Linked DNA regions of Neurospora crassa OR74A. The protein of the gene in region 1 purifies or fractionates together with the protein of each later gene. This does not show direct contact. Links are inferred from orthologs where the notes say so. Each region holds a gene or a part of one and is shown in the gene's direction. Other genes may lie near its edges.

Region 1 (6,447 bases):
TCAAAGACTTACCTAGAGCTGGAAGCAGCTACGGCACCCGCGCTGCCATAACCCATCTGAGCGTTGGCACCGGTAGCGCTGAGGGCAGAGATGGCAGCGGCCATCAGCATCATGTTGACCTTGCGGCCCTTCTTCTCGGTACGCATAATAACGCAAGGCTCCTCGGTGTTCATGATAACGCAGGGCTCCTCGTTGCCGTTACGCATGGGAATGCAGCCGATGACACTGTTGTCAGACATTGTGGCGGTCAAAGAGACAAGCTAGAAAGGATGGTTAGACGACGCGCAAGATGAGAGAGTAACTATAACTCATGGGCGCGGGGCAGAACAGGGGAAGGGGAGAGGGGGCCCAGAAAGGCTTTGCGACAACGGCGACGAGGCATGAACACGCCGGTAAGAGTCCGGGATCAAGACCTCTTGATGCGCGCAGAGTCGCCTGCTATGGTGATAAGACCAGGCGCATGGTGAAGAGGTGCCCCACGAAGGTGTTGCAAGACCACTGTCATGTTGCGACCGTGTTGCGATCGAGGAGCCTCCCCACCATGCGACGAGTCGTCGCAACGATACAATCAAATGGACGAGAAATAAAAAGGAAGCAGAATGATGGGACTCGGTGCTTACGAGTGATTAATCCTGGAGGGCTGGATGCGCGCGCGCTGAACGAGTGGCTGTTGAGAGTGGAAAGACGATCCCGCAGTTGTCGAAGAAGAGTGCAAAGGTGGGAAGGAGGAAAGGTGGAAGAAGAGACTGCGGGCCAGCTTTGGGATTCTTATACGCTGGGGAAGGAGGGAGTGAATGTCAAAACCACTGCAGCAGCTGCCATTGTGGACGACTGTTTTCGACTGGCGACCGAGGAGGATGGGATGAAAACGGGCCGGCAAGAGTTCCTTGAGAACCTAAGGAGTCCTTCAGACGGGGAGGTGCGCTTGGTTGTTGGAAACGCAATTCCGTCACCTGAAGCTTGTCCGTACAATTAGCGGCGTACCTTCCATGTCCAAAGGTTCCGCGGGTAGAGGTAGGTACGATGAAGTAAGGTAACCCTGCTTTCACCTACTAGTCGAGGGTTGTTCAGACGTGTGACAAGGCTAGGTTCTCTCGAGACGTTTACGTCTGCTCTCTTTGGTACGGTAGATGCTCAGATCTGTTCTTGTGATCTGCCAGGCTGAATTTTGCAGGTTTGTGCGGAAAAGAAAAACAAGCAAAATGCTATGTCCCGTAGCGACCACTCTGATTCCAAGTATAGGTAGCCGCTAAAAGGGGGTGATCTCACAGTATCTCGGACATAATCACTTGCACTATTCGATTGTTATTCTGCTGCTGTTTGATCCAACGTAGGATGATTCGTGGATGTATCCATGTCCTTGTGAGCATGATACAAACGGATGATAAATGGATTGCAGTGCCGTAGGAAGTGTTAGATATGAAGAGAAGTTTAGGTATGTCTGCTTTGTAGATTCTGGGAATGTAAGGTTGTCCATTCCGCCGAGCAGGTAGACATACATGACTTTGCCACATATGATTCCTTGTTGAAGCGTAACGATCTTAATTCGTAAACGTCAAACGATGCCGGAAACTTTCAGCGATGAGACTCGCAAGCAAGGCACTGAAGACGAGAACGAGGTAACGCATTATTTTAGACTGTGAAGTCGTGAAGCCCATGAGGATATTCATGAACGTATCGAATAAAGTGAACTGGAATGTATGAATGAAAGATCTCAAGACTTCCTCTTGCGCAATACGTCGAACAAAGTGGACTAGTGACGGGGTCAACGTGAACATGTTACGCTGTCAAAGGCCCCCATCCAGTACGAATGTAGACAAAATAATTCCAGAAAAATAAATACTGCTCAGCGATGACTCGTATTTCACATACTTTGGGTAGCTTTCACCATGTTAGGGATGTTGAATAAAAGAGTGTCATGGATGAGTTCTAGGTGGTTTGAGAGGCTTTGTTGACGTGCGGTTGAAGTTCAAGTTGCATCGATTGACAGCGTTGTTTGGAGTTTGACCATACTGTAATTACTGATACCATATTTTCATACAGATGTAATGCCTGTGCGGCTTGCCGAAACAGTGAGTGGTAATTTGCTGTAAGCTGATCGCAACGTTTCACAGGGCCCCTTGCCAGTGGTCACAGGGCCCCTGTCATCCATTGCGGACGCTGCAGCTCCTTGGCTCTTGGGCAGCTCTCTGCCTGCCATCGTCCCGCCAATTGTTTCCCCCCCCCCCCAAGTGGTAGTTCACGAATTGTTGTACTGCCCGTCACGCGAAGGAACAGGACGGGCAAGCGCGTAACACAGCTGTTGCCGAACCATATCAACGACTCATCATCCCCCCGCAACTGACTGTATCCTCCTCCGAGCTCAGTCGGCCTGTCGCGCGACATCTAGACACCACCTGCGCATATCATTATCTCGGATCTTAATTCGTGGCCCGCGATACCAAGCTGCCCGTATATCTCCAAGGACCCGCGCGCATCGTCAATCGCGAGTCAACGGCCTGAGCCTCGACGTTTCTCGTTAACGTCGCACCACGACACCACGCGCGGCTTGCGGTCGCCCATAGACTCTTAGGCCCTCCCAGCTCCTTTCTGCCTCCGCCTTTTTATTCGAATCAGTTTCCCATCCTCGCCGCTTGGTCACTTGGCCAAATCAATTATTCAGCTAGCTCGTCCTCAAGATCATACGCAGGAAGGTAACCGATCGCAGCGCGTCAGCCGCCATGGCGCCACGTCGAAGCGCTCCCGAGGAGGAGGAGGAGCTCGAGCAGGAGCAGGAGCAGGAACAGGGACTGGTCGCACTCGAGTTCAACGAGCCCTTGACATGGCGCCCCGGCAAGCCCATCTCCATCGATACACTGCTCAAGAGGCTCGACGCCCTCTCCAAGGAGCTGTCGGAGATGGATCAGGAGACTGTGGACACCAATTCACTGGTCAAGGTTGCTAAGGACGTAGCCTCTCATCAGCTCATCCAACATAAGGACAAGGGCGTACGAGCATACACGGCATGCTGCATTGTCGATATCTTGAGGCTATGTGCCCCCGATGCGCCCTTTACACCATCGCAACTCAAGGTTCGAGAGCCAGAATACACCATCTCATGGACCACTTGCTGACGTTGGTGATCGCAAAACAGGACATCTTTAACCTCAGCATCAACTCCATCATTCCCGCCCTCTTCGATCCATCGAATCCCTACAACAACCAACACAAGTATGTGCTGCGATCCTTTGCCGAGATCAAGAGTATCGTTCTGCTACTCGATGTTGAAGGCAGCGAAGCCTTGCTACTCAAGCTTTTTACCACCATTTTCGACGGTGTCTCGGGTGTCAAATCTTCCAAGGGAGAGCAGGTTGGAAAAGACGTCGAGTTTAGCATGCAAGAGATGCTGGGAGTACTCATCGACGACTCCGTAACCCTTCCAGGAAAGGTTGTGGATGTCATCATGGCCCAATTCCTGAGAGCGGCTGCTCCGGGACTAGGCAAGGAACGGCAGGATCATGTGCCAGTCGATGACAGCCAGGCAACGCTGCTTCTGAAGGAAGAGCCCGAGGCTTACCAGATGGTCAGGAATCTATGCCAGACTTATGACGACAAGATGGCCCGTTTCGCCAGTCAGTATTTTAGTGATGTGATTGTCGATGCGACAGGGTTTGCGGGGAGGTCGAACGGCAACAGAGACGAGGATGACGAAAACGATGAGGATGATGGCCCGACAGGGCCCTCCGAGTCCGACTTGAAAGAATTGAGGAAGGCACATGTGCTTATTCGGGAGATCTGGAAGGCCTCTCCCATGATCCTTCAAAACGTTGTCCCTCAGGTTGATGCAGAGCTCTCAGCAGACAATGTGCACTTGCGACAGATGGCAACGGAGACGCTCGGAGACATGATTTCGGGCATTGGCGCGGCAGGTCCGCCTCCACTGCCCGTCCTTGATCCAGCCGCATACCCGCCATTGAGCCTGGAAGAAGAAGAAGAAAGAGCGGAACCCCAAGTGACCAACATCCTCACCACGCCACTTTGCTCCATATCCTTCTCGCAAACACATAGTACGACGTTCCACAACTTCTTGAGTAGGAAGAATGATAAAGCCCCGTCAATTCGCGCTGCATGGACCACGGCGGTAGGCCACATTCTCTCCACCTCTGCTGGAGGAATCGGACTCAGCCGCGAGGACGAGGCTACTTTGATCCGAGGGTTGGGAGAGAAGCTCTCGGACAGCGATGAGAAAGTCAGACTTGCAGCTGTTAAGGCTGTCGAGACCTTCAAGTTTCAGGACATTATTGCTAAGCTAGGACCTAATGGAGGAGTAGGCAAGGATGGATCGGTTCTCAATACGTTAGCCGATCGCTGTCGCGACAGGAAACCCGCTGTCAGAGTTGCTGCCATGTCACTGTTGGCTAAACTCTGGGCTGTCGGGACTGGTGAGATGCTTGCTGGAAATGAAGCGGTAACAGCAGCATTGTCTGGCATCCCGTCGCGCATCTACAACGCCTTTTACGCCAATGATCTGGAACTCAATGTCCTGATGGATCGCGTCATCTACGAGTTCCTAGTACCTCTTGGGTATCCGCCAGCCAAAAAGGCGACCAAGAATTCCAACGCCAACGGCAACTCCCAGTCGCAATCGGCTAATGCGACATCCATTGACCATGATGCGATTAGAGCAGAGAGGATTCTCCTCCTTGTTCGCTCTCTGGACGAACCGGCGAAGAAGGCATTTTTCGCCATGCAATCTAGACGGCCTCAGTTCGCCAAGATTATGGAAACCTATCTCGACCAGTGCGAGAGGTACAACGGTGGTGTTATGGAAAGCAATGCCGACAAAATCACCAGCAACTTGAACAAAACGGCCGATTACATTGCACAGTTTCTTCCAGAACACGTCAAGAGCAAGACCGACCTACTCAAGTTTGCTAAAATTCACGACCGCCGCAATTACAACCTCATCAAATATGTCATTGGCCAGGAGAATGATTTTAAGACAGTGTATAAGGCCTTGAAAGAGCTCATCAAGCGCTGTATGGCCAGCAAAGACCCCTCAGTTATTGACACTCTGCTTCCTCTACTCTACCGTTCTGGCTGTCTTCTCTTCAACCGCAGTCACTTATCTACGATTATGGAGTACTCCAAATCAGATAAGGACGGATTGGGATCGGTTGCGCACGAGATCTTGAACGAGATCTCTCAACGCAACCCAGACCTCTTCAAAACTCACATCGGGCAGCTTTGCAAGGATCTTGTTGATCAGGCTCCTAATGCCACAAAGCCGAACGATCCCATAGTAGCGGAAACGCTCAAGGCTTGCTCTACGTATGCCCGGAAGTTCCCTAAGGATGTCGCCATGGATCGGAAATTCGTCCAGACCATGATCAACTATGCTCTGTATGGCCAACCCGTCAAGGCCTCGAAGCATGCCGTGAACATTGTTCTTTGTAAGAAGGATGACAAGAGCATGGTTACCGCCACTGATCTTCTCCAAAGGATTTTGAAGGATTGGTCATACGGGTCGAGTAATTTCCTTAACAAGCTTACTGCTGTGAGCCAGTTGGAACTGCTTGCACCCAAGGTTACCGAGGAGGCGAATGATGAGATTCTCAATATGGCCTTCAAGCAGATCCTCCTCCAGGTGCGGACCGACGCCAAAGACAGCGATCCCGATTGGGTCAATGACGCCGAGATGGATGAGGAAATCCAGGCCAAGTGCCTCTCCCTCAGAACACTAGTCAACAGGGTGAGGAGTATCGAGGATATCGAAGACGCAAAAGAGAAGGCCAGTAATGTTTGGAAGGTGCTCAGGAAGATCATCAAGGAGAAGGGCGAAATTGTCGAGAACAAGGATACGCCCAAGCATCACAAGACAAGGCTAAGGCTCTTGGCTGCGCAGTTGATGCTCAAGCTCTGTACACAGAAGCATTTCGACGACATGCTTACGCCATCAGACTTCAACCTGTTGGCCTTGACCACTCAAGATATGGTCGAGGAGGTGCGTCATGGTTTTGTGCGAAAACTCCAAAAATATCTTGCCGATGGCAAACTGCGGTCGCGCTACTATACCATCATCTTCCTCACTGCCTTCGAACCCAACACTGAGTTCAAGAACAGGGTGGAAACATGGATCCGTTCTCGGGCGCGCCACTTTCAGAACCTCAAGCAGCCTGTTCTCGAGGCGATCATGGCCCGCCTCATCTCGCTTCTGGCCCACCACCCCGACTACAGCAACGAGTTAGACTACCTTATCGACCACGCTCGGTACATCCTCAACTACATCGTACTGGTGGGCACCGAGTCCAATCTGGGCTTGATCTACAAGTACGCGGAGCGTGTGAAGCAGACGCAAGATGGTCTTAATCCGAACAGCGATGCGCACAGGGTCCTGAGTGACTTGGCGCAATCTATTATCAGGAAGTGGCAGGAGAAGAAGGTTTGGGCCTTCAATGCGTTCCCCGG
Region 2 (6,427 bases), about 570 kb from region 1:
CACCCCATGGTCCATCATCTGTCAAGCGTGTGCCTGATCCGTATCAAAGAGAGGCTTCGGCCGGCTTCTTGCTGTGAGACTCCGAAATCAGGAAAGCCGTATGATTGGGGATATCTCGGTACTGTGCCCTTGTTGGTGACTGTCTCGCCCGTCATGCATTCAGTTCGGATGTTGCCGCCGTCGCCGCCATCTTGTGACCAACAACACCAAGGTACTCGGGAAGCAACCTCAAATCGCAGAGCGGTAACGAGGGCACACCTGATGGCTTGTAGAGTTTGTAACAAAGGTTGTTTGGCGATGATAATCTCAACACCTTGCCTTGTATGTCCAAAAAGAGGTTGAAGTCAGACATTTCGATGCAGGTGTATACGCGTGTACTGGTCGAATGGCACAAGGTGTGTACGTACAGGTAGGTATGTACGCAGTAGAGTAATCACGGACAATCTCGACGCGGGATCTGCGACACAGGAGCCATTCAAGATCAACAACGACTTGCTCCCTTTCCCTTTTCAGCGATGTTGAGAGTATCCGTCTAGAACCAGACGGTTCTCGAATAGATTACTGACCAACTCGACCTATAGATCGAGAAAGGCAGCATCCAGGGCACATGGGCGGTTACTATGAGGTCTTTGTGAGGTTGCCGCGCCGCAGGGACAGTGGAGCAAGCTAAAAACAATTAGGTTCCCGTCAAGTGGGGCGTGGGAACGTCCACTGATCATTTCAAAGTCTGGGGTCCCTTGCTGCTCCCCATTCGGGCACCATTTCGGTCCCAGGCGAGAGCCACCAGAGAGAGTCGAAAGCCTCGAACAGATTTTTCTCGTCAGTCTCTCTATTGGAACCCCAACTCCAGACGAGAAAATGCGGGACGTTGGATGTCTCCATTCACGAAAATGACGATTGGTTGTCCTGAGAATGGAGGGCGGAAAACGGACACTTGTTCCGAATATGTCGTACACTAGATGGAGACAACAAATAAACTCGCCGGGCGTTGGAGGAGCAACCCAGACTACCATAGGTCCCAGATATCAACTACTGCGTACACCAGGTGTGAACATGTGGATGTCCTTGGTTCTCCTGTCTCTATCGCCGTATGTTGGAACTTGGCACCATCTACACAAGCTGTATGGGATCCATCATGTACAGCAATTTATCGAGGTGTTGATTTTGTGGTGTTGCTACTACTGCTCCATCATCACAAGCCGAGACAGTAGGTACTGTAGCATCAAGCGCACTAGGGGCTCTGACGGATGCAGCTACTGCCAATCTGCCACGCGTCTGTCGCGACACTGGCAACTGAACTGAGAGCTGAAATACATACATGGCTCGAGGCTCAACAGTCCCAATCACCCCAGTTCATGGACTGTCTTGTGCTTCGATTCTGATGACAGTTCTGTGTTTTGAAAGCCTATCACGTAAAGCTACCAAGCCACGTCGCGCGAATGGAGGTTTTGAATCCTGAAAGAGCTTTGCTCCAGTTCCTTCCCGTCATCCTTCCTACGTTTCGCAATATCACCGAATCCATCAAGCTGCTTTAGGTGGGAACATTCCCAGCCCAGCCTGCTGCTTGGTCAGAGCACGTGATTGGTCTGGGCGCTTTGTTCTACCGCCATAGTCACAATGGCCCGAGCGCCTTTTGGAGAGCTCACTCCCGCGCTGCGACTCTGGCCCTGGTGCCGCCCGCTGTCGGTGCTTGCCTGCGGGAAAGAAGTGTGGAAATCCCCTGCAAGAGGGGAGAGCGCGCGACAGGACAGGGGAACCGCCCGGCGAGACGCGTTGAAAGTGAATTATGTACTACTCCAGGTACATGTTCATAGCGGAAGTTCTTCGGTATCGTCACCCGCCAGCGGCCAACACGCCCCCCCCCCCCCCCCCGTCCCAGGTCTTTCCATATTCGCGCTCGTGTCAGGTGTGAATTGTGTCCAGAAGCGGAACTTGATCAATCACAGTTTCCTCCCACATCGCGACAATTGGAAAGGGTCGACGACTCCGGCATTCTCAACGACGACGCTCTTTCGCGCCCCGCGACCGATGGATGCGAACCAAACGATGCAAATAGAGACGATCCGATTCCCACTCTTGACAACCTCCGAGCTCTCGACCTGAACTCTGTACCTTACCCTTGTTGCGCAGAGTGATGCGCGCAGCTGTCTACATAGTCTACTAGCTATACTAGTCTATTGTTGTATTCCCATTGGTCTATATTCCATCCCACTTCAGCGTCTCTTCAACATCAAAGTAGCTGCCGCCGCGCTGTCGTCCAGTTGACGACGACAACACCGCAACCATGCACATCAAACAGATTATTATCCAGGGCTTCAAAAGGTGCGTCGCATGCTTGTCTACTATGGCTCTACGTCAACGTCAGTCCTTCGTTTTGGGTGTGGCGCGCGCCTGGCGCATGCAACCAGGTTGAAGCCGGTGCTGACTTCTGACACTTCCACGACCAGCTACAAGGAGCAAACCGTAATCGAACCCTTTTCCCCCGGTACCAATGTTATTGTTGGTCGCAACGGTTCAGGCAAGAGCAACTTCTTCGCCGCCATCCGATTCGTCCTCAGCGATGCCTACACCAACATGAGTCGCGAAGAGCGCCAGGCCCTGCTTCACGAGGGTTCGGGCTCGGCCGTCATGTCGGCATACGTCGAGATCATCTTCGACAACACCGATAAGCGTTTCAGCGAACCCGGCGACGAGGTCGTCATCAGGAGGACGATCGGTCTCAAGAAGGACGAATATTCAGTCGACAAGAAGGTGCAGACTCGTGCCGATGTCCTCAAGATTCTGGAAACGGCCGGCTTCGCCAAGGAAAACCCCTTCTACATCGTTCCCCAAGGTCGTGTCGCAGCCATCACCAACATGAAGGAGAACGAAAGACTCAACCTGCTCAAGGAAATTGCCGGTACCAACCTTTACGACGACAGGCGCATACAGTCGCTGAAGATTATGGCCGAGACAAATAGCAAGCGCGAGAAGATCGACGAGTTGCTCGAGTACATCAAGGAGCGTCTTAGTGAACTGGAGGAGGAGAAGGACGAACTCCGCGACTTCCAAGAAAAGGACCGCGAACGCAGGTGTCTCGAGTACGCCCACTGGCACCGCCTACAGGAGACCAACAACAACACTCTGGAGCAGATCGAAGAGGTGCGGCAGGGAGGTGCTGGCGCAACGACTAAGGACCGGGTCCAACTCCAGAAAACGGAAAAGGAAATTGCTGCCCTCGACCACAAGTTCCAGGAGCTGAAGCAGACTCTTGAGCTCCTGGCCATCGAACGGCGCCAGTTGGATGAGGACAGGAAAGACACCGCGCGTTCGCAGGCAAAGGCAGAGCTGAAGCTGAAGGATCTCGACGAGACACGGCATTCGCGCGAGAAGGCCCAGCAGCAACAGGAAGCGGAGCTGAACGAGGTCAGGCGAAGGATCCAGGCTGCCGAGTCAGAGCTTGCCAAAATCACACCAGACTACGAGAAATGGAAGAAGGAGGAGGAAGAAGTGGCGGCCGCAAGGGATCTGGCGGCCACTGGTCGTACCAGGTTGCTGACGAAGCAGACGCGAAGCTCCCAATTCAGGACAAAGGCCGAGCGCGATGCTTTCCTGAAGAGCGAGATCGAGGAGACGACCATGCAGCTTGCGAACCAGCGGGCCAATGAGATGGATGCGAAGGAACAGGTCACGCTGGTCGAGAACTCGATCAAGCAACTAGAGAAGGAGATCCAAAACATCCGTGACAGGCTCGAAGGATACGGTGAGGACCGGTCATCAATCGCCGAGAAGCTGACCAAGGCTCAGGAGGCCAGGGAACACTTGTACGAAGAGCGAAAGAGACTGCGTCGTGAGGAGGACAAGCTCAGTTCTTTGCTTGCGAATACCCGTGCAGATAGAGACAACGCGGAGGCGGACCTCTCACATGCCATGGATTCGGCGACAGCTAGGGGTCTAGCAGCGATCAGACGCCTCAAAAGAGAGCGGGATATTCCCGGTGCCTATGGTACTCTGGCAGAGCTTATGAACGTGCCAGTAGACGCTTACAGGTTGCCGGTCGAACAGGTGGCGGGTAACAGCCTTTTCCACTATGTCGTCGACAACGAAAAAACGGGCACTATGCTGTCCGAGTATCTCCACAAGAACTATGGCGGTCGTGTCACATTTATGCCGCTTGAGCAACTACGGCCAAGGCAGGTGAAGATGCCAAGGGCCTCGGACGCCCAGCCACTTATCAGCAAAATTGAGTTTGACCCGATATACGAAAAGGCATTCCAGCAGGTCTTTGGGCGCACAATTGTCTGCCCCAACTTGTCGATAGCCTCTCAGTATGCACGCACACACGGTGTGGATGCCATCACCCCTGAAGGTGATACAACCAATAAGCGGGGTGCTATGACCGGTGGCTTTGTTGATGCTCGCCGATCACGGCTGGAGGCGGTCCGGAGACTCGAAGAGCTTCGGGAACTTTACGAGCAACAGCTGGAAGACTTGGACAGGATCAAGAAGGAAGATGAGATTCTGGAGCAAAAGATCACGAGCGCTAATGGCGAGGAACGTAAGCTCGATCAACAATTGCGCCAGTTCGAGTCAGGTTTCGATCCCCTGAAGGTCGACTTGCGGACGAAACAGCTTCAGCTGGAGCGCGAGCGGCGACATCTTGAAGACGCCAAGATGCGCTGGGCGGCCATCGAGAAGAACCTGAAGGAGTTTGACGAGAACCTCACAGCATACCGGGCCGAAATGGCTTCCGAGTTCAAGAAGGCGCTATCAGCCGCCGAGGAGCGTCAGCTCGAGGAGTTCGGTGCCGAAGAGCACCGCCTGCAGATGCAGTTGAAGGAAATCAGCAAGAAGCGTCTGGAGCTGGAAGGCCGCAAGAAGTCACTGGAGACGGAACTTCGTGCACATCTCAGGCCGCAGGAGGATCAGCTGCGCAGCCAGGCCTTTGAGAACTCCGCTACTGGTGGAAGCGGGAGCTTTAAGGACGCTCAGAAGGAACTCAAGAAGCTTAAGAAGGCTGCTGCTGAGGTCGACAGGCAATTGCAGGAGAACGAGGAGAAGACGGAGGGCATCGCCGCCGAAATTGCCGAGCTAGAGGCCCACAAGGCGCAAAAGGAGCAGGAACAACAAGAGCTCCAGAAGCGGATCGATCAGTATCAAAAGAAGTTGGAGAAGAACTCTCAAACCAAGGCTCGTCTGCTCCAACAGGCGGCTGAGTACGCCAAGAACATTCGTGATCTTGGTATTCTGCCTGAGGAAGCCTTTGGCAAGTATGAGAAGATGAAGTCTGAGCAGGCAAGTTATCATCCTTGGACAATTCTTGCTTGATCTGCATACTAACTAGAAAAAAAAAACAGATTGAAACAAGACTGCGCAAGGTCAATGAGGCTCTCAAGAAGTACAAGCACATCAACAAGAAAGCCTTTGACCAATACAACAACTTCACAACCCAGCGTGAGCAGCTCCTGAAGCGTCGCAAGGAGCTCGACACCTCGCAGAAGTCGATTGAGGAGCTCATTCAGCATCTCGACCACGCCAAGGACGAGGCCATTGAGCGGACGTTCAAGCAGGTGTCTCGAGAGTTCTCCACCATCTTCGAGAAGCTTGTGCCTGCCGGCCACGGCCGTCTGGTCATCCAGCGCAAGGCTGCCGGCAGCAAGAACCGCAATCCAGAGGACTCGGACGAAGATGGGCCTTCCTCCGCTAAGGGCGTCGAGTCCTACAGCGGTGTGGGCATTAGCGTTAGCTTCAACTCCAAGGTTATGGATGAGCAGCAAAAGATTCAGCAACTCAGTGGTGGACAGAAGAGTATGTTATTTTTCTTTCTCATCCTTACCTTTCCCCCCATCCCCCTTACTAACACCGTATGATCACCAGGTCTCTGCGCCCTCTGCCTCATCTTCGCCCTCCAGGCCGCCGAATCCTCCCCCTTTGTCATCTTCGACGAGGTCGACGCCAACCTGGACGCGCAGTACCGTACCGCCGTCGCCGCGCTGCTGGACTCCATCTCCAAGACGCAGAAGACCCAGTTCATCTGCACCACGTTCCGGCCGGAAATCGTCCTGGTGGCTGATAAGTGCTATGGCGTTACGTTCCATAATAAGACGAGTACGATTGATTGTGTGCCGACGGAGGATGCATTGAATTTCGTAGAGGGTCAGGTTAGTGGGAAGTGAGTGGTGAGAGTGGTGTATGGCGTGAGGTGTGGTGGGGATGGTGATGGGATGAGTAGAAGAAGGAGTAGGAGGAGGAGGAGTAAGAAAGGGAGAGGGTGGTGGTAAGGCAGGCTGTATATGGTATCTTCTCTTTCTTTTCAAGTATGGTGTTTGAGTTTTCGTGTGGACATGGGCTTTGATGCGTTATCTTGTCATTGAAAAGTGTGGTACAGTTGTTCATGTCACTGCTCGCTGTTCGCTGTTCGCTGTCGCATCGAGTGTGTGTCTTTAAG

What was found.
Region 2: the proteins of NCU00424 (region 1) and NCU07554 purify together in Saccharomyces cerevisiae (affinity purification with western blotting; 3 studies listed by BioGRID, with this or other methods). This does not show direct contact. The link is inferred for Neurospora crassa OR74A from reciprocal best matches to the Saccharomyces cerevisiae genes PDS5 and SMC3.

The regions. Positions count from the first base shown.
Region 1 is NC_026503.1:3,811,170-3,817,616, reverse strand, and holds the start of NCU00424 (Spo76 protein), read left to right. Parts: upstream 1-2,266; 5' UTR 2,267-2,720; coding exon 2,721-3,071; intron 3,072-3,133; coding exon 3,134-6,447. Other genes in the region: NCU00425 (hypothetical protein), read right to left, coding at 13-239. UniProt on the Saccharomyces cerevisiae protein: Essential for the establishment and maintenance of sister chromatid cohesion at centromere proximal and distal regions during S phase. Also required for chromosomal condensation.
Region 2 is NC_026503.1:4,380,540-4,386,966, forward strand, and holds the start of NCU07554 (chromosome segregation protein SudA), read left to right. Parts: upstream 1-1,872; 5' UTR 1,873-2,284; coding exon 2,285-2,322; intron 2,323-2,447; coding exon 2,448-5,274; intron 5,275-5,336; coding exon 5,337-5,787; intron 5,788-5,856; coding exon 5,857-6,155; 3' UTR 6,156-6,427. Other genes in the region: NCU07555 (hypothetical protein), read left to right, coding at 1-73, 287-399, 582-670. UniProt on the Saccharomyces cerevisiae protein: Involved in chromosome cohesion during cell cycle and in DNA repair. Central component of cohesin complex. The cohesin complex is required for the cohesion of sister chromatids after DNA replication.